Linked DNA regions of Oreochromis niloticus. The protein of the gene in region 2 binds, or shares a complex with, the protein of the main gene of each other region. Links are inferred from orthologs where the notes say so. Each region holds a gene or a part of one and is shown on either strand. Other genes may lie near its edges.

What was found.
Region 1: the proteins of itgav (region 2) and itgb8 are in contact, whole or in part, in a cryo-EM structure (PDB 8TCF), measured with the Homo sapiens proteins. The link is inferred for Oreochromis niloticus from reciprocal best matches to the Homo sapiens genes ITGAV and ITGB8. Residues at the interface, in NP_002201.2 of Homo sapiens: Tyr48, Phe51, Trp123, Leu141, His143, Gln150, Glu151, Arg152, Pro154, Phe184, Gln186, Phe189, Pro204, Trp209, Asp249, Tyr251, Tyr254, Arg275, Arg278, Thr279, Gln301, Met302, Ala303, Tyr305, Phe308, Pro328, Leu329, Met331, Ser335, Asp336; in NP_002205.1 of Homo sapiens: Ser197, Pro198, Ile202, His203, Pro204, Arg206, Ile250, Asp251, Thr252, Pro253, Thr287, Ser288, His289, Leu290, Ala291, Leu292, Asp293, Lys295, Leu296, Gly298, Val300, Pro302, Glu321, Ser324, Leu325, Gly326, Gln327, Glu330, His349, Trp350.

Annotation. Positions count from the first base shown.
Region 1 is NC_031985.2:23,809,320-23,825,693, forward strand, and holds the start of itgb8 (integrin beta-8), read right to left. Parts: upstream 7,055-16,374; 5' UTR 6,338-7,054; coding exon 6,244-6,337; intron 5,320-6,243; coding exon 5,234-5,319; intron 1,443-5,233; coding exon 1,271-1,442; intron 446-1,270; coding exon 339-445; intron 1-338. UniProt on the Homo sapiens protein: Integrin alpha-V:beta-8 (ITGAV:ITGB8) is a receptor for fibronectin. It recognizes the sequence R-G-D in its ligands.
Region 2 is NC_031987.2:29,163,303-29,179,132, forward strand, and holds the start of itgav (integrin alpha-V), read right to left. Parts: upstream 8,578-15,830; 5' UTR 8,157-8,577; coding exon 7,993-8,156; intron 3,631-7,992; coding exon 3,503-3,630; intron 1-3,502.

The DNA.
Region 1 (16,374 bases), on a different chromosome or scaffold from region 2:
ATAAAATAAGAAGATTTGGAAGATGATCCAGAATAAATCAGGCACATTAGACAAAAAAGAAGCTTATTTACCTCCCATTTCCTCTGCTTCATTTAAAAAAAAAAGTTTAATCTGTAGTAGTTATAAAGTCAGTGTCCATCTCACTGGGCCCACTTATTACTGTTTATAGATCCTGGTGAGACTTCTCATTTATGCAAGCCTTGACTTAATTATGTTTCTACACAGCAAATAGTCCTTGCAGCTATATTTATATATAGAACCTTCGAGAAGAAGGCGTGGAACAAATCCTCACTGACTCACTGAGCAGCAAAGTGACAGACGAGCATTTTCACACCTACTTGATCAAGGTTTTCCTGCATAGAAGCCGATACATCCACCAGGTAGTACAGGTCCACGGGATAACGCTCCAGCTGCTTCACCGACACTATGAAACTGGCCGCTGAACCTAGAAACAAAAAACACACGCACAACATAAACTGCAATGAGCAAAAATTCAAAAACACTGCATGGTGCACTGCAGCACCAGCATCTCTGTGAAGCAGAGATGCAGTGAAACATTTGTTAGGTAGAGGTTGGCTGAACTGTCCGGACTGCAAGGCATCTTCCCTTTACTCTCACTTTGCTGCTCATCTATATATATATGTAGTTACCAGGAAGGACAGCGATTTCAATGGAAGGGGACTAACTGCACTGCTATTCACAGCAGCCGAACCAGCTACCAAAAGCTCAGATTACAACACACACACACTCACACTTGGACTGTGACTTCATTTAGTGCTTAGGGCACCATTTCTCCACAATAATGTCTTTATTATAGTTTTTTCCTGAAGGCTTAAACACTAACAGTGATTCTTGAAGCACCCATCTCGGAAACTGTTAACACTTTTAGCCAGTGGAATTTTGAACACCCACCGCTTGGTGCTGTATGCTCCCGTACGGCGCTGCAGGCAGTACTCGCTGTGCTGCCGAGCTACTAAATACAGCACCGCATGTGATGTGGATGAGGTCTTATGGCCTGATCCTTAAAGAAGGTGAGATTTTTCCCATTTTTTTGTTCCTTTTCTTTCCCGCAAGAATGTTCTTATTTTCTGATATTGCACTGGTGTTCAGCACATTCACAAAGTGCCCTGCTGGGCACACAAAATAATCAAAAACCACAAGCGCTGGTCATTTACACTATCGCCGCAATGGTGTGTTGTCTGCATACTGAATACATTTTTAAGAGAGTCTGATCGTTTTTACGCCCAACCCAAGTTATCACGTCATCTACCTGGTCTGAGGGTGATGCTGATGTCTCTTGGGGAAACTTGTGTGCTGCTGATGGTGGCGTTGACCTCCACCTTAACCTCTGACTGCTCCATGAACTCCAGTGCACAGTCCCTCTTGAGCAGGTTAACTGGCAAGTCACAGCGCTGACTTAGCCCCGCCCCATCTAGAAAGTCCTACAGGTGAAAACATAAAGTTCAAAATGGTCAGTTTGCCCTTCATTCAAAATATGCTGGTTTTAAAATCCAACCCTGTTTCTAAAACAAGTTAGGATGATGTAAGGAAGACAGCTTCCTTACTAGTATAATTTGTATTGTGGTAACTTGCACAGCACTTTAGGAGCACCTTTGCACTTTATTAAAAGCACTTTATTGAGCACTGCACTTTAAGAATAGACTTGCACATCAATAACCATTTGCACGCAAGAGGTTTAATTATTTATTGAATATTTATTGAGTTATTTAATAATTAGCAGGTGGCCTTTTGTTTCAGGTCCTGCACAGCTGCTCCTCACTGAGAAGTGTGGTGTTTGTCTGTGAGGAAAGGTTGTTACTGGGAGCAAATAAGGTCTACTGCCAAGTAAAACTTAGGCAAATGTGTGTGTTTAAAGTCTACAGGTAAAAGTGTTGGTGCAAAGATCTTTTCCGTGTCCTCTCCAGGGTGTTTGGGCAAATATTTCCCCAGTGGTCCCGACACCATTTAAAGGTTCCAGGAGAGGCCATGGGTTAAGGGAGTGTGAGAAATCTCTATACATGGGTTTTTGGTGTTTTTTTAATAGAGTTAAGGTATAAGGTTAAAATATAACATATTTAATTATCAGAGAATGGTGAAAATGTATTTATTTATTAACTCAAATTGTGTATTGTATATAGATGGTGGAATGGTAGAATTTGGTAAACTCACCTGAGAGTAAATAATGGTTTAGTCCTAAACAGCTGAGAGTATTTAAGGCTGCCATTTGTCATTAGACAAGAGATTGTTGTTGCTGTTGGAAAGCTTGATCTACCATTAACTATCATGGTGTTAGATACATGTGGGCAAATAAACCATACTTTGTCTCAGTCTTCACCGTCACTGTAAATTCATCTGCAAAAGCTTTGTCACAGATGATGTGGGAATGGATGGATGAGCAAATAATTTAAACGCGTCCTTGAAAATAGCAAAAAGATAATAAAACCTGAAATGTCATTGTTTTTTTCCAAAAAGCAAATTCACTTCCAACAAAACGCTAACAACACTGTAGGTAAAAATGTCTCCAAAAGGTGACAGAGTAATCTTTTTGCATTATCTTGATGAATTAAGCAAAGCCTTCTTTTATAAAACAACAATGGGAGCATATGTGACTTCAAAGCCTCCAATATTGAATATTAACGGTGCCTTTGCACATGTAAGTTACTCACGCCATGTGCACTAATGAATACAAATAACAGATGGCGGATGTTGAGATGGTCTCTCTCTTCTTCAGCCCACGGGAGGCGGCGTATTTGATTTCCAAAAGGACTTTTGTTTGGTCAATTTTGCACCCTCCTAAATGAGCTTGGGCCCACCCATTGCAACTGTATTTCTGCATCTTGTGTATATCCTTTTTCCTCCTCTTCATTGTGGGGATAAGTGTGCATACAACGACGATCTGTGAGTTGGCTGACGTTGGTTTTAAAAGTGCTCTGAAAGCCATTAAGTGATTTCCACTGTGTAATTGAGTGCTGCCTGAGGGCAACAAATCAAGGCCATTCAATGTTGGATTTCAGCCTTTCTTTCACCTTTGTTTTCACAGATTTCTCTGGATTCTACATTATTTTATATACTGCAAATAATAATAGGTAATAATGGCGTTATATATATGTTCCCCAGTTAGTTGCCTTTTAAAACACATTTTATCACCCTCTAAATAAAAAAAATATATCTTGCTGGTTACAAGTTCAAATGAAGTGTATGTTTCAAAAAACAACATGTTTGAAATTCATCAATTTTATTTAACATTATAAATTTTAATATAGGAGAAAGTCTGTAGGGTATAGCTCACTTGCAATTTTAAATTCTATAAACAGAGCATACAAGAAAGCCATGTTTTCGCTGTAATCTCATCTGTATGATGAGCACATCTCCTTCAGCCAGTCTGGAGCAAGAACGAGAGTAAACAATTTCAAGGTCAGAAGAAAAATTATAGATTTTCTCTACACTTGTGCCGACGTCTCCCGCTACATCAATTCAAAAATGTATGCCTAACACTCGGCGTTTAAAGGCTGTAATCTAGTTAATGTTTAACCCATTAGTTGATTTTTTAACCTTTGCTCACTGTGAAGTATGTAGTGAAAGACTGTGTGGTTCGCTTCACACATGCTGCAGACTCCTGCACACTGACAAACATTCAAAAAAAAGGATTTACTTGCGACGCTTCTGGAGCCCTTGGGCAACTTTTGATCCGTTTCTCTTTCTCCTGCGCACCTGCCTGATGTCACAGACGTGCAAAGCCTCCCCTCGTTTATTCCACTCAGGGAAACATGCAATACTGAAACCAGTTTCACAATTAATCAGTGGTTTCATTTTTCATTCTTATTGCTTTCAGTGTGTTTGCATTGATTTTTGATGGAGTTACCCCGACATGAGAGCCATGACTGTTTTTGCTATTGGACCCTTGAAATTACTCATCAGTTTCAAGTACCAGGGGGAAGTGCCTGTTTGGATTTACTCGTGTCCAGATTTATTCTCCGTGTATTCCAACACTGAGCGATGGAAATTTGCTCAGTGTTAGTTTGGACAGTTCAAAATGTGATTAGACGCCCTTATTGTCTTCAGATTCTTGATTAAGTTCTGCTAACAGTCAGCTGCCACAACAGCAGAGTGTAACAGTGTCATGCCTTATAGCTTTGGAGAGGCTTAGTGACCTTTGGTACTTAAGTCTGTAACAAAAACTCTCACAAATACAAGGAAGTGGCACAAAAAACCCTGTAAAACTACACCCCTAAATATGTGTATTTACACTGTAATTAATCTGTCATGGGCCAGACTGAGTTCAGTCATTTTTTAAAAAGCATGAGGGGGAAACAGATAAGGGATGAAAGAGTGAAAATTAAAAAAAAAAAATCCACACAGCCAAGGAAAGCCGTGGTCTACAATAGGACCTGAAACTGTAGCAAACTATCTGACCAGGACCTGAACCTGAAACCTGGACTGGATTCTGTGTATTTATGGTGTTCCCTGTGGCTATAATTTGCCCTGTAACAACTCTGAATACTAAAAAGTTTCAGACAGACTTCCCGGGACTTTCCTTACACAGTCTGTCTCTTCACTGGACTCTGATATTAACAGCCAAATGTGAACATGCATATTAACAAAAACTGTACCGGCACTGTTTAATACTTATCCAAGCATGGCTCTGTGAGTTTACATGACCTTGTATGTGTGTGTGTGTCTCTGTGTGTGTAGGAGGTAACGTTTGAGGGCTCACACACACACACACCAGTGAACCCAGCCCCGCTTGATGATGTCAAGAAGTGTAGGACTTAGAGGGTGGGAAAGCACCTGAAGTCTGTAAATGCACACATGCTGACAGTCTGGTCTGGTATTTTCTATCTGTGTGTTGTGACTGGTGTGGCACCAGGAAGCTTTACAGCTCCTCAAGTCTGTTTCGGGGTGGGCTCTTTACGAGACAGACCGACACACAGACAGAGATAGAGGCATGGGCGGAAGCAGCAATACGTGTAAGTGTGTGGAGACTAAACACATGGATGGAAAAGTGGCTCTGTCTCTGCCTTCTGCCTGAGAAAACGTGCATGGAAACATTCACACGGGCAGCCGGCGCAACTCACACGAGTCATAACGCAGGCCGCCGAGCTCTAAGGTGCATATTATATTCACATTTGTGGACTGGATCAAAGCTTTGGTTCGTGTCATCTGAGGAATGCTGTCCAATGCCTTCCACGTTTGTGTCTGACACACACAAACACACGTTCATACGCATTCCTACCTCTTTGAAACACCAGGCGCACTGTGGGCCACGGCTGAGGCAGTCTTTACAAGAGGTGACGCCAGGAGACCGACACACGCTGTCACCTGCTCAAGGAAGGGAGGAGGAAAGGTGGAGGAGGCAGCGAGAGAAAAATGATTGCAGGGAAGAAGAAAAAAGATAGGCAAGAGGAGGAGGGAAGAATCTGAGATTAGCATATGAAAGAATGTGTGTGTCAACACTTATTAGCCATGCAGCTGAACCCCTGTGGACATTAGACACTTCTGATGATAGGAGCACCACTTAGCATCTCATAAGAGGCTGTTCAGCACAAATCAGCCACCATCTGGAAGCAGGTACTGGATTTGCTGGAGTGGTAACCCCCCGCCCAACACCAATACACACATCCATACGACATCTAATCATGAGTCAATCATTTAGTGAGAATGTGCATATGTAGTCCATAACTAGGCACTCAAACAGGATATGTCTATGCAAGGTTTGCAGAAAAAAATACAGTAAGGATGCAGACTTTACTGAGTGACAAAGTATGGCTTTTTGTAGTGGAATTAATGTTGTAGTGTAGTGATTTATCTGCTGGAATCTAATTTTCCAGAGTTATTCCAGGGAGCTTCAGTGAGGTTGTAATGTAGGACAAAAGGAGAAAAGCTGCAGGTCTGAGCATCACTAACAGCGCACTCTCACCCAATTAAAACTCTTGGCCTCTGGCAAAAAAGACTGTGAAGGTTAATCATTTAACTTCTAATTTTAAATGTTCGGTAATGTGCTCAACACAGAGGGCTGGAGTGGTATCTGCTACTGTAGTGAGGCTGTCATTACCTCTCATCAATAACTAGTTTGTAACTCCTCCACATGAGCCAAATGCCCATTACGAGTCTTTTACGTTACCTCCTGCAGAGACTACAGAGGGGATGGAGGGGAAGCTAATGATCGCTTGACAGTGATAGCTACAAGATGCAGGCTAATTGCTGAGATGGGATGTAATTAGCCCCCAATGAGCATCCACTCACCGGCACTGAAGGATTCTCCGCTGAAAGTGGCCACCAAACAGCAGAGCAGGAGGCACAGACAGGCGCTGTCGTATGTGCGTAGCCAGGAAGTCATATTATCCTGTCCACACCGGGTAGGAGACCGGAGCCAAGCAGCGAGGAGACACGGGAAGCGGAGCTGTACGGCTACTGGAGATGAACCGGGGGAGACCGGACACCGTGCGTTCGCCGGCGCATGAACAATAACCGCGAGTGCTGGCCCGAGCCGCGGGACATCGTGGTTCACCCAAATAGCCCTCTAATCCCGGAGAGGCATTCACCTCGACCGGTCAAATCAGCTTACAAGCGCGCTCCCCCGTGGGCCACGAGAGGAGGTGAAGCAATCGGCGGAGTGCGAGTCACCTCCATCTATTTCCACCCAGCCGCAGGTGTGCGACGCGTCCCCGAGAGCTTCTCACAGCTTCGCCTCACAGCTGATGGTAAAAGTCTCATCCCGGGACAGAGCACAAGCCGAAGTTACACACGGGAGAGCCAATCAGCGCTCAGCCGGCGCGCAACCGACATGCTGAGTGAACATCATACGCCGAGAGCAGGAGAATAACCGTGTTTTAACCACTGCCATGGTAACCACGCCGCTGTACGTACGAGAGAGAGAGAGCTCAGAAGGGGAGGGGCGTGTGTGTGTGTGCGCGGGGGGTGGCTGACAAATAAGGAGAGGAGGAAGAGAGGTGAACAAGGAGGAGTTGCGGTGCGGTGGATTCCGAGTGTAGCGCTGGTGTTTATGTTGTTTCTTAAGGGAGCCGTAAGGGGGGCGCTGTGCGCGAGGACCTGCGTGGATGGATGATGGTGTGGGGTAGTTGGGGGGGTGGTCAGTAAAAACCAGAGCTCTCGCAGAGGGGTTCACAGGCTGGTGCTACAGCGGACAGGGGGAGGTGACGGGGTGGGGGTCTGACTCCATTGTGCGCAGATTCCAGTGACATAGAGTAACCTCCTCGCCGGCTGCTCCGCTGAGGAGAGCCAAAAATACTTAGTAAATAACTGAACGTTTTATCCACGAGGAAAACAGCCACGAAGCAAGAAAACGCGTAGCAGCCCAGACCATCTTTGGCCTGCTCGTATCTGGTAGAGGTCCTTAAGGTAAAAAAGAAAGAAAGAAAGAAGAGAGATGTTTGTCTTGGCTCCAGGCCTCAACGGCGACGGTGAATGCGCCAACGCGCAGCAATAAGATCGCGTTTATCTGCTCTTCTTTGGCCTCCATCTGTTGCTCAGGAGCCTGGAGCAGACCCAGCCGGCCTCTCCTCTCATTCATTCATCCATTCATTCACATAATTTGTCCAATGGGAAATTTTGGAGTGCTGACACCTCCCCATCCACACTCCAAGCAGTCACCCTCAATTATGATAATGATGCAAACACACACCCCACTGTTTTCTAAGTGTGTGAAACATCCCTGAAAAGCAGCTTCCATGCAGTCTCTTTCTCTCTCTCTCTCTCTCTGCCCAGGCTCAAGTCTCTCCTCTCTGCAGGCTGAAGGTGGCAGCAAGGGTTTCGTGGTGACCAGAGGGCATAAAAAATAGAGGTATTCACTGCTGAGCAAACTTGATAATGGACTCCAGTGTAAACAGGTCCTCTGCCCTGGTCATCAACACTGGCCTACATCACTATCTTAATGACAGCTGTCATTGTTGTTAACCCGACACAAGCCACTCTTCCTCCGAGTCATTCCTCCCCCACCTTTCCCACCTCCACACCTCCTCCCCCTTCTCTTCTCTTTCTTCTCCCCCTGCTATGTTTGTGTTAGCAGTCGGCTGGGCTTTCCATCACGCTGGTCTGGCCTCATCGTTCTCCAAACACACACACACACACACACATGCACGTGTGGACAAACACATACATACCATACTCTATTTTGAAGCACCTGCCCAACTTTATTCTTTCTTTCTTTCGTTCGTTCTTTCTTTCTTTCTTTCTTTCTTACTAAGTGGTCATTCAGAGAGTTCTCAGTGATTTTCTCTCTGAAGCCTCGCCCTCACTCTCCATTCAGCCTCCCATTCTTTGGATAAGCTGATGCGAGAACAAAGTAAGGGGTCAAATGTGAGAGGGGAGCAGAATGGGGATTCTCATGCATGGATCCAAGCCAGCCACCACAAGTGCACAGAGTGACTGACGTTTGGGGAGATTTGGCACAAATTTTTCTTTGTGTTTCTAAATGTCAGCATTTTTGGGCCTTTTGTTATCAAGTGGAACCGAACAGCCACACAGTCATAACAAATTTGCATTTCATCATGATTTAACACTCGACAGTCTAATCTGAAATCCCCTCTCACATTTATATGTCAGCATTTGGCCTTTGGTGAAATGAATTCCCCCTCAAAAATCAGAATCACCTATCATCGCCTTCCTACTCATTTTTTTTTCTTCTGATGCTGAACTGTTTTTTGTTTTGTTCAATTTTATATTAGGAGAGGTGGAGGGGGAGTTGAATCTCAAATTTCCACTTCTATCAAAATGTCAGTCTAAATAAGGTATTATGTAAAGCAGAATCAAATGTTTCTACTGCTATTATTCACACGCTGACAGCAGCCACGTTTCAGCTTACGGAGGGGTAAAAATAGGAAGACCTACTTCTGTTCCTGTTTTGACTGAATCAGGAAATTTGACAAAGAACTGAAATTTTTTGAAGTCATAAAAAAACTGTGTTTTTATTTCACTGGCACAGTCTGATCTAGTCTTTTGTTGTGGGTAACCACTACATTATTTTTAATATGAACAGGAAGCTGCTATGTGAACTGATCCATATTTGGTCACTGTGAGACAGCAGTGATCAGGTGATCTAATTTTCTTTTGCGTAAGGTTCAGGTGATGTAAAGTTCTGAGTATTTTAATATCTTTAACACTAACATCGGAAAAGTCATTCTGACTCAGGGAAATGTCAACATGGGGGAAAAAAACAGCACCGCCATGAATACAATAAATTTAGCTGTAAAATCATTTTTTCTAAATCGATTATAAGAATAGATTTTCATATGAAATGCTGGGCTTTTAGGAAATAGTACTCTTATAGTAAATAAATGATAGTAAATAAATAGCAGACATATTTGGCATGTTCACCTGAATAGCTGGCGCTCAGTGAGTGGATGTAGTGCTGAGTGGCATAACAATAAAAATAACTATGAAATGTGTCAGTTTCAGTGCAACAGTGTGACTTTATAAGTTTGAGTTGTTGTTGCGCAGAAGTGAAACACTGTCATACAGCACTGACTGGCAACGTGAGTAACACCGACCTTGTTGTTACAATGTTACTTTGATTCATTCACCCCTCGCCACAATCTTGCCTCTTTCCATCAGGACCAAGAAGAGTCCACGAGCCCAAATGACCCCCAGGTTTCAACTTCAAATCCCCAAAGGATTTGCTGGACTCCCAGATTTCCACTCAGAATTATTTTAGTGGCACAAGGGAAATCTACACTGCATTAAGGAGCTGGTTTTGTTCCTGACTGTTATGATTCCAAGGAAAGAGCTATTGCTTATTAGGCTGCTAGCAAGATAAAATCTGTGCTCAGTTCATTGTTGATTTTGGCCTTTAATTTTTGTTTCCTCTTTCCTCAAACTCACTAACCATTCTACCGCTTACATCCGGCTGTGAGTTTTATGCTTACGTGGTGGAGACAGCAACACTGATATCAAAGTTGCTCTTCAATATAAAAAGAAATCTGTCTTTGAAAAAAACAAACAAAAAACCCCAAAACACATCATGTGGTTTACGTGTTGAGGACATGATGAGTCTTCAGGAAACATAAATGAGAACAAACATTCAAAATAAAGCAAGATGCTGCTTTAACTAAGACATCCTCAAGAAACTAGGCAGAATTTGTTACATAAACAGTAAAAGCATTCAGCACAATTTAAATATGTAAAACACAGAGTAATTATGCAAATGTTTTTATTCAGATTAAGATGTCTCTGCTACGCAGTAATAATCATGTCATATTCTCCTGTGATGCAGTCTTCTGGTTCGTTAGCTAGTGTGACAATAATACCCTCAATATCTCAATATCTAATCAAAAAAAATCACATGGTAGCAACTGGATGCATTTAGGCACGTAGATGTGTTCAAGGTGACGTGCTGATTTTCAAACTGAGCATCAGATTATGAAGTGACCTTAAATGTAGCAGGGATGCTGGTGCCAGATGGGCTGGTCTGAATACTTCAGAAACTGCTGATCTGTTGGGTTTTTCCCACACAATCATCTCCAGAGTTTACAGAAAATGTTGCAAAAAAGAAAAAATGTCCAGTGAGGGACAGTTCTCTGAGTGAAAATGTCTTGTTGATGCCAGAGGTCAGAGGCATAGCCAGACGGCTTGGAGCAGATGGGAAGGCGACAGTAACTCAAACAGCCAGTCATTACCTCTGAGGTATGAAGAAAAGCATCTCTGAAAGTAAAATATGCTGAACCTTGTGTACCCATCTACTGATCGCTGCTTCTAACAGGAAAACTTCCCATGTCACAAAGATCACCTCAAACTGGTTTCTTGAACACGACAATGAGTTCACTGTACTCTGATGGCCTCCAGAGATCTCAACTGTTTGGGTAGAAAACAACAGTCACGTCATGCATGTATAGCTGACCAATCTGCAGCAGCTGTGTTATGCTATTGCACCAATATGGACCAAAATCTCTGACGAATGTTTCCAGGACCTTGTTGAATCTGTGCCATGATAAATTAAAGCAGTTCTGAAAGCAAATGGGATCCAACTGCACCGTGTGTACGTTTAACTGAATTTAAACTCTGAATTATGTTTATAAAGGTGAAAATAGAAGCAACATGAAACATCTTTAACCTGTGGTATAGTTCGCGTGAGAGTTTTTCCATATTAAAACCACAGTACCCATAAACCCCATCGCAGCTGTTTCAAAAACGATGCAGCTACCAGACAAAGTTCCTCCTCGATCTTTCACTTTCATGAAGACTTCAAGCCTGATGCTCTACATGGGAATTTCAACGGAAGTACTTCGCTGTTAGCATTGAATTTCCTCCTTTGAAGCAACAGATTTAGCGTTTGCATACAATGACACCAAGACATTTTTGCATGTATTTCTTCGAATTGAGTCTGAATTCCTGTGAGGTTTCATGGTTGGAATGATGGCATGTGCTAAGATTTCAGAAAACATCCGTTTACTCTCCACTGGACATACCCAAGGAAACTCCGTGGTCACTGCGATGTCACAGCTGATATTTATGGTGACTATCAGTGGCCTTGTGGCTGAATGCAGACGCAGACAATAGTACAGAAACATGCATACACCTCCACTTCACTCAACCACGAGCATGACTGTCAGCACATACAAGAACTAACACAGCAACCCATGTTTTTTGTCACTGTTTTTTTCAAAGAAACTGTGGTTTCAGTAAACGATTACAAAAGAAATTATCCCAAATGACTCACTGGGGCTACAATATCATGATCTGGGATCAGAACTGGCAGTGCTTGCCAATCTTTAAAACAGCAGTGTGAACATTTAATCTGTGTATCTTAGCGGCATTTCATAGATTCAGTTTCTAAGGTCAGATGGAGAGTTTACTTGGGTGGCCTAAAACTCTACTTTTGCATTCGTGGGGTTTTAGATTATCCAACTAGAGCAATCAAATCGAACGGAGGCAGCTGCTTTTGGCAAACTACTTGTAGGCAAGACTAGAGCGAAAGACCTGTAATCAGCAAGGATCCTGTAACCAAATGTTTAGTGGTTGTAGAGTAGACAAGGAATAGGTCAGATGACTAAGCAGTCCTCAAACGACACACGAAATGAGAAGCAGTCAGAGTGCACAAACATCCGCCAAGACAGCTCATTCTCTGGGCAGTATTTACTTTTAAGGGAATAGTGTTTTATTTTCTATATATTCCTTTTTTGTTCTTTTTAAATTCACTTCAGTAAGTGTGTAGCACAGTTGTTTGTCTCTGTGTGTTAGTCCTGCGACAGACTGGTTCACGGTGTACCTCTCGCCCTATGGTAGCTGGAATAGGCTCCAGTGCTCCCGCCACCCTGATAAGGATAAATGGAAGAGAATGGATGGATGAATGATTAGCAAGAAATAGGAAGTGAAAAACAGTTTTGAACACATGTTTATTTTTTTTTAAAAGCATTAAATTCAATAATATTAATCATAATAATAAAATAAATGTCGCCTATACAAACACAGGCAGTAGAATTTTAAGCATAGTTTTAAAGTTTTAAAGATAAAAGACAATAAAAGGCGTTTTAAAAGAGTTTGACTTTATTTGACATTAAAGATGAGGTCAGAGGTCCAAACCATGAAGATATTTAGATTTCCCATATATTATTCCTTATATGGTGTCATACAACTAATGGCATTATAGGAAACACCATTTTAAATTGGTCTTTATACAGTACCATTATAATTATTTTAACCTTCAGATCAGTCTAATTAGCAAAAGAAAGGTTAGAGGTCAAATGTGTTAGTATATTTTAAACCTTTATATGGTGCTTAAAAATCATCACCACACTTGTTGGAGATTAAGTATCGGAATTTCAGGAGCAGGACCACGCCTCCAAACACGCTCCTTCCTGTTCTCATCTATATAGGTACCCCCAGTCCTACAAGCTGTTCATTCTCATTTACGTACCTGGGATCTGCCAGGCCCGGGAGCCGCTGACAGTCCCCTTCGAGGCCTTCCCCAAACCGCAGCTCAATTCATGTCCAAGCCAACCTTTACCTACTAAAACGCTGTCAAACATAAATGAGGACGTGGGCCCAGCTAGTGAAAGACTCATAGTTTCTTAAGTTACAAGCCTTTTTGTCATCTCTCATCCAATAAATCATCAAGCTGACCTTGAAGACCTTGATGGATGTGAGCCTAATTTTAAGGGATGGCCTCACTCTACATTCCTACAAAGTTTTATCATCACACATTAAAATCTTTTCGATGAAAACTTTACAGACAGGAGGACATGCACACAAACCCTACCTACACTGGCAGAGGGAGCAAAGCTATGAAGACTGTGAGATACAATCAACAGCTCGGCCAAAAGATTTTATTTCAGTCTCGCTATTTAAAGTTGTTTTTCTGTATAATTAAGGACAAAATCTGCATAGCTGAGACAGACATCCTGAATTTCCCATGACTGGGTCAAGCACGTAAACACTCTCTTTATTACAGGCTCTTGAGTCTGCAATAAAGATGACCTGTAATCTAACTCAGTTTGTCCTCTCCCAGGTCTCCTGTCTGGTAAATGCCCACATCCATCCTTGTAATTTCTTTGCTGAAATAATAGTATCAGGTGCTCAGGGCACCTGTCAGAGATGCACACTCACTGTCCCCTGAATGTGAAAGTGAAACCCAATAATAGGGAGAGCTTGGTTATCTATGCTCCTCATTGTGCCCACTTCCACTTAACAAGGAGCTGGAATGCCCCTAAATTTTCACACACACATCATGGGTACCAGCTGCGCTCTGCACTTTGTTACTGTATTTCTATGAAGGCCAGCAGGAGCTCTCTGGCTCAGCGCCAGCTTCACCATGAGAAAGAAAGGGAGCGTCAGGGAGAGCGAGGAGGGAGGGAAGGAGCGAGGTCACCGCTCTGAAGGACTTTCAGTTATATTCAGGGGAATAACACATTCTGGCCTGCGGGGCTGCAACATGGAGGCGTAATGGTGATATTCCACTCTGTGGTTTACGCATACACATCCACACTCACCGCCGGTTCCTCTAAATCACCACCCAGGTTGTATTTCCCTGACACAACTGCACTGCTGTGTAATGTGAAGTCACCCAGGAGTCATGTGGGAATCAGATCCGTTTCCCAGGTAAATGTCCGGTGATTCAAGGGCAGCACAAACACAGATCAGATCTGCAAAATTAGGTGGCAAAATGAGTGAAAACTAGTGAAAGAGACAAAAAAAAGCCTTTTTTTTTTTTAAAGCTTTTGATCTGTGTGTTCTGCTTATTAATGTTACTACAAGGTCAGAGGAAATGAGGAATCACTTTTCACTTTTTGACTGAGAAGTCAAGTGTAGAAAGGAAATCTACTTTGTACCAGCAGCAGACTGAGCTAAAGGAGAGGAGAAAGTTGGATGGGCAGTGATGCTCAAAGATGAGGCAGAAAAGCTCAAACAAGCCGACACAAAAGCATCGTTTGTTTTCATCACCCACAGAGAGACGCTTAAGACAGTGTCACCACCAGGGATAGTTCTGGTAAAATCCACCAAATCACATGAAGCATGTCAGTTTTCTGCTTCACCTCCCAGTATTTTTCCTCCTTTCCAAGTAAGTCATAACAGCTAAGTCACATTGTAGCTAGCTGATACCAAGGACAGCCAGTACTGTAAACAATAAGTAGAGAAAGATAAGCAGCTTCACACAGTCTCACATCTTTAGCAAAGAACTCATGAATCCATTGCCAGGATGTTCCAGAATGAAACAGATAGTAAGATCAAACACATTTGTTAAATAACTGATTACAGTAAATGTCAGGTCAGAGTGTGGCTCATAGAGCAGGAATGCCAAAAAGAGACGGCAGGCTCTTTTTATCCTCAAACTGCACGGAAAAGAAAAATAATTCAATGATAATTTATTAAAACTGAATGTCATTGTTATCGTTTAGTTATTTAGGAATGGAAAATCCATTAGTTAGCCTAACCGCATGTCTTTGGACTGTGGGAGGAGGCTGGAGTACATGAGGAGAATATGCAAGCACCACACAGAAAGGCCTCAGCCAGATGGGGGATTCAAACCCTGGACCTTCTTGCAAGGCAACAGCCCTAACCACCGTGCCACCATGCCAACCACGCCACCCTGAGACTGTTTTATTGTGGTTAATGGCTCAGTCATGTTAAACATGAATAATCAATTACATCACTGCAGTTCTTACAATGACTACAGAGCCTATATTTAGAACATGAGTAAACTATTCCACTAATTCTAAGGGGGAAATGTGCTCAAACAAAATCTTCAAGATCTGCTGAAAACTTCTGCGTAGCTTTAAGGTTTTTTTTTTTTCTAATTCAACAGAAGGCTGCGGTGCAGGAGATCTCAGAAACACGCTGCTTCTGTTCTGGTACAAACAAAACCGAACGAGTAAAGAGAAAGAAAGGAGCCTTTTTATGTCAGGGTTGTGGAAAACAACTCGCAGCAGAGATTTCTAGACAGAGGCAAAGCTTTTGCATTGTTGTTTTTGTTTAAGCGTGACATAACACAGACATGCAGGTTAGGAAGGTGAATCCGATAACCCAGAGTGCTTGGAGCATACTGGAAGTCTTTTTAATGCATCCATTGTAAGTACTGTCCTACAGCTGGCTGAGGCCTGAAGAGGTTTTTCGCCAGTAACTCCAGGAAGCTATTACATCACCTCTACAACTGTGTGGGTGTGTGTGTGTGTGTTTCGTCGGTTAATTATTTCTCCAAGCATGGCCAGTGTCCCATGTCCCTCCTCCTCCCAAAGCGTGATTCATGAATTTGTCATAATACAATAGAACTTCTTATCCATAGTTTACATTTCACTGTGCTCTGATCTCCTTCATACTGGCAGCGGATATTAAAGAGGACTAAAGTGCTTTGAAAATATATGAGGTGGGATGGGATTGTTTTTACAAGTTAAAACAAGCTGCGAGTATCAGTATGAGGCTCTCTGATGGTTTACGGTACACTTGAATGAACTGGCTATTGACATAGCTCGCCCCCCTTTCCTCTTTCTGTTTCAGAAACACAAACAAACAGACACACACACACACAGCTGTAAATCCTGTGCTGACGTCCTTTGGGAAAACAGGGAGTTTCCTTCCTGGGTGAACAAGCTTCGTCGTCATTCAGTGTACTGCTGCCTCTGTGGCCAGGAGTGAGGTGGAGAATGAAAACATCAAAGCGGTACTTTTCACCCTCAGGGTGGATGTGAACTCCACTCCTGCCTTATACTGAACAAATGTAAGCCCAGCCTTCCTTTATTTGCTTTCTTTGGAATATAATCCCACTTCCTTTCAACTTGGCATATAAATAAAACCACTGGATTGGTCACAAAGTAGGTTGCTTACCAAAATGTGTTTTATATAATTGCGTTAATCGTAGTTTACATAATTTCACATTAAATATGATTGAATGTGATGAGGTTTATGACTCTTGAACAAAGAAACATATTT
Region 2 (15,830 bases):
ATTTTACTGGAAAACGAAAGCAGTTTCATTAACTGTGGTGGTAAAGATTTCAGGTTTTATTCATGTGCCACTCAAAGTGTATGTGTCAAATGTCAGTGTCAATTTTTCAAAGGAGGAGGGAGAATAATCTCAGTTGGTTTAAATGGTGAAAGAAACATAAAATATATCCTGCAAAATGCAGGTTCTCCTGCTTTGTGCATGAACTCTGCTTTAACCCGATACTGCATGTATTCTTTGTCTGCAAAGAGCTTGTGCAGGGGCAATATTGACGCCATGCTGTTTGTGTTGCGTCTCTGGAGGGGGCGGGACGTCACCGTTTTGGAGTGTTGTGTGGTTTGTTTTTTTAACTTCCTATTTTCATGGCTGAGGTCTCCCACAGAATACCAACCAAGCTCAACTACACAGCCTCACTCAAAGAAACACATACTGCCCTGTCTCCGGCTATTTACACTTCCCTCATTCCGTCTAATCCTTTGTCTTCCATGTCCTCTTTTATGGAACAGGCAGAAAGTGTGGTTCCATTTTAGGGGAAAATATGTTTGGTATGTATACCCTGGAGATTTCTTGGCAAATGTAAGCACAGAAAGACAATTACCTAATTCCCTAATTACCAAATGGAAATCTCCCATCCCACCAATTTAATTCACTATTGCTATGTCAATCTTAACGACTATTTCAAAACAAAAGTAGCTGGTTGGTTACCCCAACACCACTGCAGAAAAAGAGGTAACTGAAAGAGCGCCAGATAAAAATGTAGAAAAGACAACGGAAATATGACATTTCTGTTTTTTCATGTGATGTTTCTGCACATCTTTAGTGGAGCTAGAGCTTCAGTGGAACTTGAGGTCACATGCTTCATATACGTCATCATTTGTTTCCACTGCTCTTTGTCACACTTTGCTTTTATAGATTAAGAGGGGTTTTTTTTAGACTTCAAAACACTTGTACATTTCGACTTAGTTATATCTTAAACTCAAATTAAGAATGTGCATAAAAACGTCACTTAAAACACAAAACACCGTAAAAGAAGTTTATTCATCCCTTTGGGGCAAGTCGGTGCTTTGCCATCACTATTAGAGCATGTGTCAGTGGTTGCTACATGAACTGAACTGCCCCAAGCATACTGTTCAGGTAACATCAACACCTGGCTTGTCTGTGCTCTCCTGTGCCTGCCATTTTTCCTCCTTGGATCTTTAGGGGTGTTTTTGTATTTCACTCCAGTGTGTAGAAGACATTAAACCTACACTCAAAAAGATGACAGTCACTCATTTAACACCTACTCTTAAAAAATGAAAGCTAGCATGAAAAGTTAATCATATAGCCACAGTTACCCAGCCCCGTTATGAAATCTATAAATCATGTCTGTCAATGTGTGCAGTCACCAGCGATTTGGAAACACTGCGGCTGCACTGTTTCACCACAAGATAAGTTCTGTTTTGAAAGACTAGCTCTTATAGACATCTTTATATGACCCAATACTGTTGACACGCAAAGAGACCTTGGTAAAACCAGCAATAAACCAGCTACACACTGAGTTTACATTTAGCAATTTAAACCACTAGTGTTGTGCTGGGTGTCGCGGCATTCAGAGGTGTGATTCTTCCTGCTTTAAAGTCAGCGGTGAACACACCACAGCTTGTCCTTCTTGAGTTGTCAAAAGTAACAAGACTTCTTAACGTAATACTTTTAACAACAAAACACTTATAGGTTCTCACAGCCAACTGACCACCTCCCAGTCTGAATCATTAAGGAGGACATACAGACAGAACAGCAGGCAAAACAGATACGATTTCTTATAAATGGTACTTTTCCTTGTTTACCTTTCAAATGTCACATAGGCTAGCTTTAAGTCTAGAGAGGAGACTTTAAAAATGTACACTGCATGTATGCAAAGCTGACAGCAACACAAACGTCTGTTGGACAAAAAGTTAACACACAGTTCCCTTTTTTACATTTAAATACTCAAGAACACCCATCTGAACTTCTGGTTTCATATGGGAAGGAAATGGTTTTATTGTAGACATTTTTATTATGGTTTTGACAGACGGGCTTAGATGTAATCCCATTTGTTGAGTCGCAAGGATGACACAGAAACAAGTCCCGCTTTGCTATTGTGAGTTCTGGCACGACGCGAGAAACCAGCAGAAATTTTCTAAGGAATTTTAATTCGACCACAACAATCAATTGCTTCTTTATACATGTTTGTTTTCGCTTGAAAGGAAGCGGAAAAGGAACCATGAAGTGAGTTTGTTCTGTCATAAACCTCTAACTGACCAATCACCATGCAGAATGGTAGCATTTCATGTGGAAGAAAAGCCTCCTTTAAGCAAACACCACATAAGCATCGTTTCATTTCAATGCAAACATATTATCAGTTCTGCATTTTCAAAACATTTTCTATAGAAATAGGTAGAATTCATTATTTTAGCCTTTTAGCCTCATTAACTTCTATTCATTGACAATAAGACTATCAGTGTGCTGAACAGAAAGTGGGAGGGCCCTACATTTGCTTTGTTATCAGCTTAGGAACTAAAGAATATGACAAAGTATATAATCAGGTAAAATCCTAACTCTCTTTGAGCTCCTGAGAGAAATTATGGTTCTTGAGTGGGTCAATGGTTCACCAGGTAGTCTCAGTTTCAGTTTATCTGCTATTTTTGATATCAGTGTACAGCAGTTTTTAGCCACAAATATAGATTAATTAGTACTCGAGAACATTTAAAGCTCTGGATCACATGTGGTGTAGTCAGAAAAGTGTGTGAAACACAGATTTACTCATTTATAGATCCAAAATGCCACATATTCTCCGAAAGTTTGGCTTCCCCTGGTAAAAACAACAGATATGACCAAAAACATTTCCTTGACAACTTCTGCTGTTCTTCATAATCAGTTCATTCACATATAAAGGAAATAATCACCATTTGCACCTAAGAAAAGGACATTTTATTGTGTGAAGCTTCCAGGATTCCTGGAACGTGTGGGTGCTGCTGCCTCACAGAAAAATGACTGAAATTCTACGAAGACAATAAAGGGATTAATACCCACATCACAGAACATTGCCAAATTATAACTGTTTATCACTGTGTAAATATTTACAGTGAAGACAGTGCTCTGCTCATCTGGCCTTTCACAATCAAAGAGAACCAGTAAATTACTAAATTATGATCAATGCTGGAGACAGATGATTGCAAAATGGATAAACAGAAGGAGGCAGCAGTTTTTCTGTCACTCACAGTACACGGACGAGTCCACACACATTCTGCTTCAATGCACATTCCTGAATGTGTCTTAGCATGAAAACAACAGAAACAGGCTGAGCTGAACCCTCAGTATCCAATCAGTAATACGCTTACTGAAAACTGTCCACGTTATCTATCATGGTCTGGAATTAAAATGTAAATTCTAAGTGGTTTTCATTAAAGGAGGGAGAGATATTGAAGGTTAAAGCCACCCTAAGGTGATGGGGAAGAGTTTTTAACCAAACTAAAGGGTCTTCTGGTACCTTTGTTGTCAAACAGCAGCTGCTGACAGGCGCTGGAACCGCTCCAGGGGCAGCTGTACACTACTCCTCTCTCCACAATGCTGTCCGAAGACATGTTAGCTCGAGGAGCTCCAATCAGAACGTCTGACCTGAGGAGAGGAGAGGACGTTATTCCGTAACACAAACAGACACCAACTCATACAGAAAAAGCCACAAATGCTGTCATGCAGTAATTAAGCTGACCAAGAGAGGCTAAACTGTGTCTGATTCAGCTTAGGAAACAAAGCTTAATCTTTCAGTCATCTGTTACCACCTCAGTCTAAAAACCTGTGCATACACGACTCAGCTGGTGTTTCAAAATATGGCAGCTTTACTATCATAGTAATTTCTGTGAATGAACTCGGCCTACAAGATATGAGGAAAGTCTGTGAGTAAGAACTCATCAAATACTTGCATATGGATATGCAATGTGCATATTAGCTATACTAATATGCATATTTCTTGATAGATAAATAGACAGGGTTAATATATTGGTTAATTCTGGCTATTTGCTGATATATCCACCATGACATTTAAAACAGCCAATAAATAAAGGTTTTTTTAAAAAGAAGTGCTTGGAGAAATACCCTTCAAACAAGTGCTGATGTTGCTTAGTTTATCCAGAGTGCACTCTGCCACACAAATGCCACAAACATGACAACAAGCTAATCCGAGACAGGAAGAGTGTAAACAAGCAGTCCACCACTTGTTGTGACAATAAAACAGTATTATTATAACTGCAGTGTCATATTTAACTGCTCATAACAAATGTTCACGTAATCTTTTTAGGTTTCTTGCATCTGAAAGAAAATAGTAATAAATAAATCAGATTTTTAAATCATTGCTGTACAAGTAAAACGAACATCAGCATCGCCATATATCTGCACTGTTTTTGGATTTTTTTATTCCTGCTATAGAGTTCAATGACAGTCTTGGGTGGTTATTAAGCTTCATTATAGCTCAGGTTCTGAGGTGCAGTGATTAGTTGTGGTGGTATTTTCCCACCTTCTAATAATACCAATACCAATAACAAATACCAATAATAATAGTAATACCAGTAATACCAATAACAGCATTTTTTTTAAACCACATTTCAGGCAGGCTTTTATATTTAGCACAGAGATTGATATTGTTAGGATGAGGCAATGCAATAATGCATAAAAAGGCCCAGAGTTCAGCCGTGTGCTCAATTTACTGAAGCACAGTGAACTAAATTTATCTAGCACCAAAGCAGGGACTTTCTGGGGATTTAACCATCTCACAGAACTTTAAACTCTGGTTCATCCAGTTAAATGTTAAGTAGAAGAGTTCTTTAAAAGACTCATACTCTCCAGGAAGTCTGTGGTGAAAGCAGAACTTTAGTCTCTAATATGGTTCAAACTAAATTTAAAAAGAAAAGAAAGAAAACACTGGATGCTGCTTTTATCTTCAACCTGCTCATTTCTTCCAGTGTTGATGTCCCCACTCTGCATACATCACACAGGACTACAGATCTACAGGAGAAACATCCAGAGCACCAGAAGATGACATTATCAGTACTACTGACCGAGACTGGTACAATGACCTTCATGTGTAGTTTAAAGAGGTCTACAGAGCCACAGCGCTGCAACAGTGAGTGTTTGTCCAAAAGTATCATTGCCTGGAACATCCCATAACTAGTATGTGACTAGTTCTTAATCTAATAAACATACGAAACACAGATCATCTCCCGTCTGTAGATGCTGCGGTAACATGACAAATTTCCTCAGCGATATAAAACATGATTTGGCTGCTTGTAGCGATGCTGCAAGAGACAGCCAACAGTTTTCAGGTGAACAGTAGGTCTTTGTTCAAAGCATTTAGGTTTTGCTGCAGTGCAAAACAGGATTTGTTTATAAAGAGCCATTCAGTGGACATTTTTTTTCCTTTGCAACTGCAACTGTTTTCACTACCTAAGGTACTGACCACTTATAAAACGAATGAAAACTTTTCATCCGTTAAACACTGCTGTGCTAAAAGGCTGCTGGTTCAGTGAGACCGAGGTGGTTGTAATGATTGATGTGGTTGTTTTAAAAGCTGACAGGAACCACACTCAGTAGAATAAAATTAAAACAACAACAGGAAAACAGCTACAAATCAAGTGATCTCTCAATACGTGTAATTACTGCAGGCCACACATTGTTACACTGGGGGGTTTTTAGCTTCCAGCCACTACTGCTGCCTCAAACTAGCTAATAAAAACCGAAGGACAGGCTGAACTTAGCGTAGCTTATTGTTAGTAACATTTGGCTGATATAGCTTTGTGAGATTTATAAAATGAATCAAAACTTTTGACCTTTTTTATTTAACAGAATACATAGCTCTAAATGAAGCCAACACAAAGTACCACAAATGAACGGTTCTTCTAGTGGCTCTGAGCTTGGCATCAGAAAAACATAGTGAGGCAGTGCCCATAGATGCATTAAAAGGCCTGTTTACAGCCTGGTGTAAAAACTGTTTTTGGCCTCCGTGGAGAGTTTCCAGCTTCATAACAACTCTAGTATGAGGGGATTTGTATTTATTTTTATAACTCATCCATCTAGATGCTGACAACATGTTTAGCTGTAGCTGATTGGTACCCGCTGGGTTTCAGCTTCACTAACTGGAGTCACCATGTTTAAACAACTGACATGGGTGTGGTGCGGAGCATCTAAGAAGTTTGTGATTCAGTTTTGGTGAGTGAAATTGTAGTGTCTGTCTGTTATTTAGCACTATTTAGTAGGCATCTGTAACTGTGCATTCAACCCATATGGTTTATAGATGATGTTTCCTAGCGACAACGTATCATTCCACCCTCTCATCTAACCACAGTCACTTCTGGGTTCAGCAAACCAAAATGGCAGCAGTCAAACACTAATGGGTGATGGGTGGCGTCACAGTAGCTACGACCATGCTTTATACAGCTTATGCTTGACATGCATTAGGCCCTGTGAGGAAAATCTATAGTTCTTTTTTAATAACTAGAACCAAACGAGTCTCCACAGCGACCGTGTTCTGTATGAGGACATATTTACATTATTAAGCCATGTTCAGCCAACTTCGGTCCTGATATCATATTATACAAATCCACTCTGACCATGGCAATAACTGTAACATGGGCAGTGAATTTCAGTGCTGATCTAATTAGTGTTACTAAAAGGATTCAATGTTTTTCAGGCTACTGCAGATGAAAGTCTCTAACTTTCTGTCCGCTCTGTCAGTCTATTGTCACATGAGACTGCAACATTTCTCTGATATTTTCTCAAATAAAGAACCTTGAACCTTGAAATATGGAGAAATGGCAGGCAATCGATATTTATCTGCACAGCATAGAGGTTTTAGATGTTACAACACAAAGTTACTGAATATGTTCCCTTACCAAGGTCAACAGGGCTCTGCTGCACTGAGGGAGTCATCTGCAATAAACTGACATTTTCCTGGGTACCTACTGATGTTTAGTTGAACAAGGGATGAAATCCACAAGAATTTATTTAACACAAAAAATGAACAACTGGGCTATGCGTTATGGGATGATGCTTTAAAGAGGTCTGGGAAAAAACCACCTGTTTTCTTATTATACATAAAAAGTAGCACGGTGCAAGTTTGTTAATGTGCATCTACAAAACTGCTGCAGAAACTCTGTGCAGGGAGAGAGGATGACAGGCAGCTTTTTGCTATCTTTTCATGCAGACACTCTAAAAATACAGCAAGAAACAAGACCAGGAAGCATAAAGGCGATGATAAGACTGTTATTAGGATGTCTCACACACTCCAGGGAATATTTTTTAAAAACGTTTTTCAGGAACCTTTATGACACTTGACAATATGGGAAACACAATTTAAAAGCACCTCAGGTTAAACCTCCTCTATGACCGAGGGCGTTGGCACTGTTTTGGGACTGCATTTGGTCTGTTAATGATGTAAATTAACAAAACAAATGCAGTCTGAAAACAACTAGATCAGTAGTGTTCTTTTGAGAGAACTACTTTCACTTCAGTAAAACTGGATAATCATGGATATCCATGGACGAGAGTTTAGACAGCACCAAGCCTACATGGCCTCTGGGCACTGTTCCTGTTTGTCTGTGTTCATTTTAAATAAAGTCACAGCTGGTGCAGCTTTGAAGGGAGAATCTCTGACTTATGGATTTTTCTTAAAATATATGGTTATAATAATGGGCAATAAATTCAAATTGCCTGTAAAATTCAGCCCTTACAATTTGGTTAATAAAGTACTGAAGTAAAAGTTAAAAGTTAATGGACTGCTGTTAATGGACTGTCATGTTAAATCTTAAAAACATATCACTAGCTGAGAACTTGTCACTAAATAACAAAATGGCCAAAGTGTAAAACTTAAGTAAAGTACTTCAACAGAAGCATATATAATGTAAAGTAAGGTAAACCAAAGGTTACATTGAACAGGCGCTTCTCCATCACCATCATCACCATAACCATCTACTCTGCTACAAATCTTACTTTAGGTTGTTTAAAGCCTTAAAGAAGTCCACCGAAAAGCCGAAGTAGCTCCCCTCAGGTCCGGAGTATACGATGGAATTATTCACATCCAGGTTGAAAGAGCCGGAGCGATGGAAGTGTAAACACACCAGGACCAGCACAGCAGCTGTCCGTGTCCCTGCCATGGCTGCTGCTGGAGATCTCCGCGGCTTCACCGACACAAACACAGACGCCGAAGATGTTGTCTGTCCCTTATCAAGTTAATCAGTTAGCTTAGAGGTGTTGTGGCCTGTATGCACCCACGGTGTAACTTTAAAATGCCTAAAATCTCAGCCCTGCTAACAAGCGTCCCCCCCGCAACCGTACAGAGAACAAGTCGTCATGTAATTGTTAAATAAAACACATTCCCAGCTTGTACCGGAGCTAACCAGCGTTACACACAGCGCAGGGCGGGGGCAGAGTCAGTCTTTCACCGGCGATTCGTTAGTTTGTCTAAGCGATGAAAGCGGCGTAATCTCGGAACAAGCTCGGGGAGAGGCCGCGACACTGTGTGTGTGTGTATGTTGTATGGTGTGGGTAAGTGTGTCAAGGATAGGCTCGCTCCAACTAGCTAAAGTCAAGTTATATGTCCAAACATAGCAAACAACTTCCGTCTGATACCCTTCAAAACAAAAGCATGATTTTCGGCTGTGCTGGGAGTTGGAAATTTAAATCAAATTTACAATTTCAAATGTAGGAAGGGATTCAGAACAGTTGAGTTTCTTTCAAGCTAGCTAGATATATAGATAAATATTAAATAGTTTAAATTATTTTCAACTATTGCTCAGCTAAATTACACACACAGTGCGCAATGGCATCATTGGTAGTTATTGTTGTTGTGACGATACTTCATAAATGCTCAGACGTTCTATCAAGTCCATAAACATTCAGGTTCTCTTCCTGCCCAAAATAAGCTGGCCACTAAGCACTGCTGTTTCCAAATAAAAACTCCCATTAATAGAGAACAAATAAATAAAAGAGAAATAAACTGGATCCAGCCCATCAGGAGACACACACAAAAAAAGTCATAGAAATGTTTGTGCCACTACAATTCATTACAGTTGTGAGAAACACTATATATGATGCTCTGCTGAAAAAGCAGTGAAAGTCCATCAAGTACTGTTTTCTTAGGAATTTTTATTAAAATGTTTAGCATATTTTGCTTTTCTTTTTTTTTTTTGAGTTACAGTGTGTAAAATCTCACCACTAGATGGCAGCAGATTGCATAATTGCAGTCAACTCCTCTCAGTGCTTTGGTGGCTGCTATAGGACAAACATGTTGTAGTCAGCCAAAAGAGATCAAAACATTAAATTTAGACTGTACCACATAACCAACTTTTTTTCTGTTACTGTTTGTATATAAAAAATTATATTTTAATATATTTGAGGAATACATATACTTAACAATAGATGTAAGAGTTAAAAATAAATAAATAAAAAAAAGGTTATGTGTCAAATATTTTGCTGTATTTTATGTTTTTACCCTTGAGTCACTTTTTGGGCCTATCGGCCCACCAGGAAAATGCCTGGTATCCCAGATTAACCAGCCCTATATTGAGGCGAGTTGTTGCAAACATCCTAAGGTTTTCTGCCAATAACACTTGTTTGCCACTGTTAGCCTCTGTTTGCCTGTGCTAGTGAAAGTTTCCTTGAAGTTAATATAACCCTGTTTTACTCAAACACTTACAAAATAAACTCTCACTCAGTCATATGAGAATCTTTACATCAGACAGAAAGAGAGATTTTTAAGACACTCAATCCTAAACTAACTTTTAACCAGTTCTTGTTGTACAGCTGGTTGTCAGCTAATCACAGGGTCGCATGCTGGCAATAAGTAACTGCAACAAAATCTGAAAAAATTGATATGCACATTGATATGAAGGAGATGAGCGGTGAATTGAGGAGGAAAAGGAAAGCATTTTATCCAGAATCCAGTCGTGCTGTCACTTTTCTTCACATTTTGGTTCTTTGGTGAAAGAGACCTGTTATCAGACGATAAAACACCTTCCCATTTTGAATCTGAAGGTGCAGACACAAATTAAAATTTGCCTCCACAACACACAAACGCTCATGAATTCTCTTGTCCTCCACCTTGGGCGTACTATGTATTTGGCCAATCTCTAATCACATACATAAGACACAGTTAGGCAGGAAAGGGATGTCCCTCTCACTATCTCGGACACTGTATTCAAGTTGGAGAGGCAACACTGTGACTTCCACAAACTGGCCCAAGTCCTATATATTTTAATGGATTAATTCAGGCAAGTTTATGAGAACATATTCATTTGTTTTGGAAATCATTATTACACACTAATCTATGTATATGTATTAAACCAATGTTTGTTTGTATGTTTGTTTGTGACCTTATATAACACATTATTAATATAATGCTCTATTTATAGACTATTAGCAAATTATTTAGCCTCCATAGCTTTGGGATTGTTAAAATGCCTTTAATCATGTTAACTAGACTGCACATACCAAGCTTTTATTCTGAAGGCCAGGTCGTTTCCCTTTCTTGGTGTCCTTGGTTAGTCAACATGACAACACATTCTGAACAGGAAGTCCATTCCCCTGCATCAGACAGCGTGAACACACACACACTCGCACACACACACACACACACACACACACACACACTTTTCCAAGACAGGCAGGCGTAGCCTATAAGGAGGGATTTTGACTGTCATGTAGCTGTTTTCTGTTCTGTTTTGCTTCATTCTGGGTCATCATCAACTTATTATCATCAGTCATGTGTAAAAGATCGCTGAAGTGTAATAGTCAATAGTTTACTTTTATAAATAAAATTTAAAAGGCCCTTCCTATTGTGAGAACATTACACATTTTACACCTCTAAAAAACGTTGCCACTGTCAGCAGATAATATGAAGGATTGGTTTGTCTCGTTAGCTGAAACGTTGTTACTAGATAATGGAAACTTTAAACGACAGAATTAATTCATTTGTTCAACCTCTTATGTTTAGGCAGTTTGAAGTGGACGCTGAAAATGGTTTTGCTCCTTAAACAGACCAAAGAAAGCAATTTCTTGATGAATTACATTTGAAGTAACTAAAGAATTGGCAAATTTCCCCCCTTTTCTTAATGAGCTGTGGTGCAGTGATAGTGATAAAAGAGGTGATTTTAATTTAGGGAAACATCGTCTTGATTGGACAAAGCTAAACTGCTCAAGCATCATATATGCTTCAGATCAACTTTACCATGTAAATTTACAGAGTAAGGACTGTGGATTTTGTCCCTCTGCAGTAAAAGTGGTTCGGGAACAGACTTCTCTGGGACAAACTGGAAAAGAACAATGATTACAGCAAGCAAAGCTAGTTTTATTGTTGGGCCCTCACTATTATATGACAGATTCATGATTTGACTCTTATAGTAAAATCTTACAATCCATTGCAGAGACACCCCTCAAACCAGATCCAAATGATTAAAGTTTCGAATATAAAACTCTCAAATATAATGGATAATAATGGAACAGAACAGACTTAGATTTCAACTCTTTTCACCAACTTAATGCACTTTACACTACAAGTTTTATTCCTCTTTTTTATTTATCTAACACCTCATTTTATGCACTTTATGCCCTCAAGTGTGTTATGTAATTTGCCTCCCATCTAAGGTTGATTAAGAATTATCCAAGAGGAGGTGAAAACCCATGCAAGCACAATGAGAGCATGCCTGTCCACACATAATAGCCCCAAAGAAACCAACACAGTAATAGGTGACTTTTGTAAGTCTTTAACAACATTACACATTTTATACACATTTGTAACATATTTGCAAAAGGAAGTATCCATCTGCCTGCTTTAAAAATGGCTACAATCAAAGTTTCTCTGAGAAGGGGACAACATTATTGTTTACTAGTCATTAGTGAGCCCCTTTTCAGGGATAGGCAGGTACCACTTTTGTTCTTTTCTGTTCTTGAAAGTCACGTTACAACTTTTGTATATTTAGCTCTAGAAAAGGCAACGAGGTAAAAGAATGAAGAAAAAGCAAGAACTAAGTCTGATAACAAAAAGTTTTTAAAAATCCAGTCCTGAGCCCAACATGTAATCAAAAGAGCCGAGTTCCAGTCTCCTGCTTTCTCAGTTTGGGACTTTTCAGGATAATAACATACAGCAATACAGGCCAGTTTAGAACAGGGAAGCCTAAAAAAATCAAGACATCGGAGTCAAAGTTCATTGCAGTTTGGCACATGTCTGGAATCTTTGAAGGCCAAATGGCACAGCTCAAGTCAAAACAGATCTGTCAAGTCTAAACAGACCAGTCCAGGGCAACTCTGCACTTGTTCTATGCTAACACCCCCCACCCCTTTTTTCCTTTTTTTCTCATTTTTGCTGTACACATAATAGTGGTTTAAAAATCTAATTTTAGTGGCGATTTTACAGAGTTCATTTCTTCAACTCACTGATTACAAATAGCATTCAGCTCTAACAGAGTTGCAGCCCAAAGTTTTTTTGTCATTGTGTATGAATGCACAAGTGGCCAAGTCCATGTAGCTACAGCAGCAGCTCATATGCGGACAAAGTAGGCAAGCTGAGGCGTTTTCGTCTTATTTGGCTATGAGCTGCTCTGAATCATTGCTCCAATGAAGTGTACACTCAAGAATGTGTGGCAGGACTCCCTTGAGATTCACAGGAAGGGGGAGGTTATATGTTTGTGTTTGGAAGGGAAACAGCGTCGGTGTAATACATAGCATGAATCATATGTTGATGGCATAAGGCATCAAGATAAACACTTAAGCCTGGTTTTGGTGCCATGGTTACATTTGTATGAATGTAAAGGAGTGAAATCAGAGTGAGCAGGAGAGACAGACAGGCAGAGAGAGAGAGAGAGAGAGAGAGAGAGAGAGAGAGAGAGAGAGAGAGAATATACTTGTGAAATTGAGAGAGATGTTGTAATGGACGTTGTGTAAGGCTTAACTATGCAGATTACGTACCATGTAGAGCACAGATGCACATTAGCCTGGTTTTAATGTTTAAATCCAAGTATCCTCTTGAATCTCTGTCTTTATGAGGGCCAATTAAAGTAGTAGAGGGAGGAGTGAGGACTGTGTCTGACTCCTTAAAAGCTATCTGATGATTCGGTCTTGCTTTTTTATGGTTTGAGGTTAAACTTGTTGATATTATGATTAGGCCTAAAAGAGTTGGTGGCGACAGATGAAAATTAGCACACTAGTATAACACCCCCTTTTAAGTCAGTGATACTTATACAGTTAAAACATCTAGCACTTACAGAGGAAAATGACGACTTTTGGTGTTTGTCTCCACCTAACAAACTTAAAGACAAGGGATTTTTTTTAACTAGATAGACTACAAGCCCAGAACACTTATAGAGACTGTCTTAGAACACTGTGAGCAAAAGATAACTCGTAAATCTACATGCAGTATACTGGAAAGACTGGGCAAGCCTTCTTGTAAGTAGTAGTCTTCAGGAATAGAGACAACATAGTGTGTTTCATCCAACAAGAAAAGTTGACACAGAAAAGTGAAAAACACACAATGTAACACCTAGCCTCCACATTAATAAAGCAGTGTGGGATCGTATTGACAGGATTGATGGAATAAGACAGTCAGCATCCACAGAAGAGATTTAAGAACTATTCCTGAAGACTGCTTAAAGAAATGGCAAGAAAGCTTGCCTAAGTTCAAGGACTGAAGAATAAAAGTAAATGTTGTTAGAACTGCACAAACACCTTATATACTATGGAGTCCATATATGTTTCAAATCAATTTACCAATTTCTCATTTTCCTAGCAAAATATAATGTGCCTCAAGATTTTTATACAGGACAAAGTAGCAATTACAGCAAATTTCTATAAAAATTTGTGTAATTTCATTGTGTATAAAGACATTTGTATTGATGTTTATTTTCCATGTCACATGTCACATGGAAAAGAAACTTTTTTTTGTGTGTGTTTTATAGTCATATTGCATATAGTATGTGTGGTGCATCTCATAACAATTACATCTTATACTTGTTGCCAAAGGTTAATGCAGGGTGATCAAAAAGTATATTCATGAACTGTAAACAGCTCCATTGCTGTAAAAGTAAACTTCATCTGAAAAATCCAATGACAATTTGGTCCTAACATTAAACAATGAGTATCATCGTTTCAACGTATCCTCTCATAGCACAAGAGAAAGTGTGAGTCAACTGATGTCACGCATCAATCAGTTGAGAGCACAGACTTCTCTATAAAATAGAAGGTGCTTGAAGCCACTTCTCTCCAAGAAAAACATCAAGGAAAGACTGAAATTCTGCATAAACTACAAGGACTGGACAGTAGAAGATTGGTCAAAGGTTATTTTCTCTGATGATGCCCCTTTCTGACTGTTAGGGACTTCTAAAAAATTGATAGTCCGAAAGAGGAAAGGTAAATGCTACCATGAGTTGTGCCAATGGTGAAGCATCCTGAGGTTATCTATGTGGTTTCTTCTCATCCATGGGATTGTGCACATTCACAATTCTGCCCCCAAACACTGTCATAAACAAAGAATGGTGCAAAAGGTCTTTCAATGATCCAGAAGGAATTTAGTGGCAATCTGTCTATTTTCCAGTATGATGGAGCAACATGTCACAAGACAGAAGTTATAACTAAGTGATTTGGTGGTCATCAAATTAACATTCTACAGCCAGGAAACTCCCCAAATCTTAATCTAGTCAGTCAGTCCTTAAGAAGCAAGTGAACAGCCTGTGATCGGCTTGGAGCACTGATAAGGCAAGAATGGATGACCACCAGAGAGCTGTAGAGGGTTTTATGAAGAAGAAGCTATGAAGAAGAATCATCACTACATACTGACTGCATACATTTGATTTCTTTCCCAGTTAAATTCTTTATTCTCATGAAGTCCTTGTGATTGTTCTTCATTATACTGAAGCAGAAATCAAGTGAACATCATGCTGTATAAGAAAAATTCAGAAGGAACCAGTTAAATAAGTAAATCATAAGACTTGCTAGAATAACAGCAGCAGAAACTAATTTTAATAGTTTTGCTGCCTCCTAGAGGTAAAGTAGGGGATTACAGTCCAGCAGATTTTCTTTCATCCATGAAAAAACCTTTACTGAGACCATCAGACAAATTGTCATTTTACAAACAAGAAGATTTTGGTCCAAAGAAAACACAATGTTAAATATAGCATTTTTTTAGTAGCAGAAAAAAATACTGAAGTTTCATATTCAATTTCATATTGAAATGTTTCCTTCCTTTTCCCATCTTTGTTTAACATACTGCATAGAGTGAGGCTTCCTTGTAAAATTTACCAATCACACCCTTAACTAGCGTGTTTTCATAAGCCTAAGGGGTAAAACTTCATGACAATAGATCTGGGCTTTTCGCACCCATTTGGTTTGTGCGATGTGCTCTTTCACTTCCAAGTGATTGGCCACTGGGAAAGCCCAGCGAGTTTTTCACTCTTCTGTCCATTTCATCCCAAACCAGCTCAATGGGATTTAAGTCTGGAGACTGCGCTGGCCACTCCATGTTTTCAAGCTTACTATCTTGTTCTTTTTTTCTGAGGTAGTTCCGACATAGCTTGGACTTATGTTTTTGGTCGTTATCTTGCAGCAGAATGAACCCCTGACCAACTAAGCGCAACTCAGAGGGTATTGCATAGCGCTGCAGAATGGTGTAGTAGGGTGTCTCTCCCTCTGTACAAGTCACCGACCCTGGATCCAAGCAAAACATCCCCAGACCATCACGCTTCCTCCTCCATGTTTGACAGTTGATGCCGCACACTGTGGAACCATCCTTTCACCTACTCAACGTGCGTCGTTACATCAGGTGCATACCATGACTGAGTTCA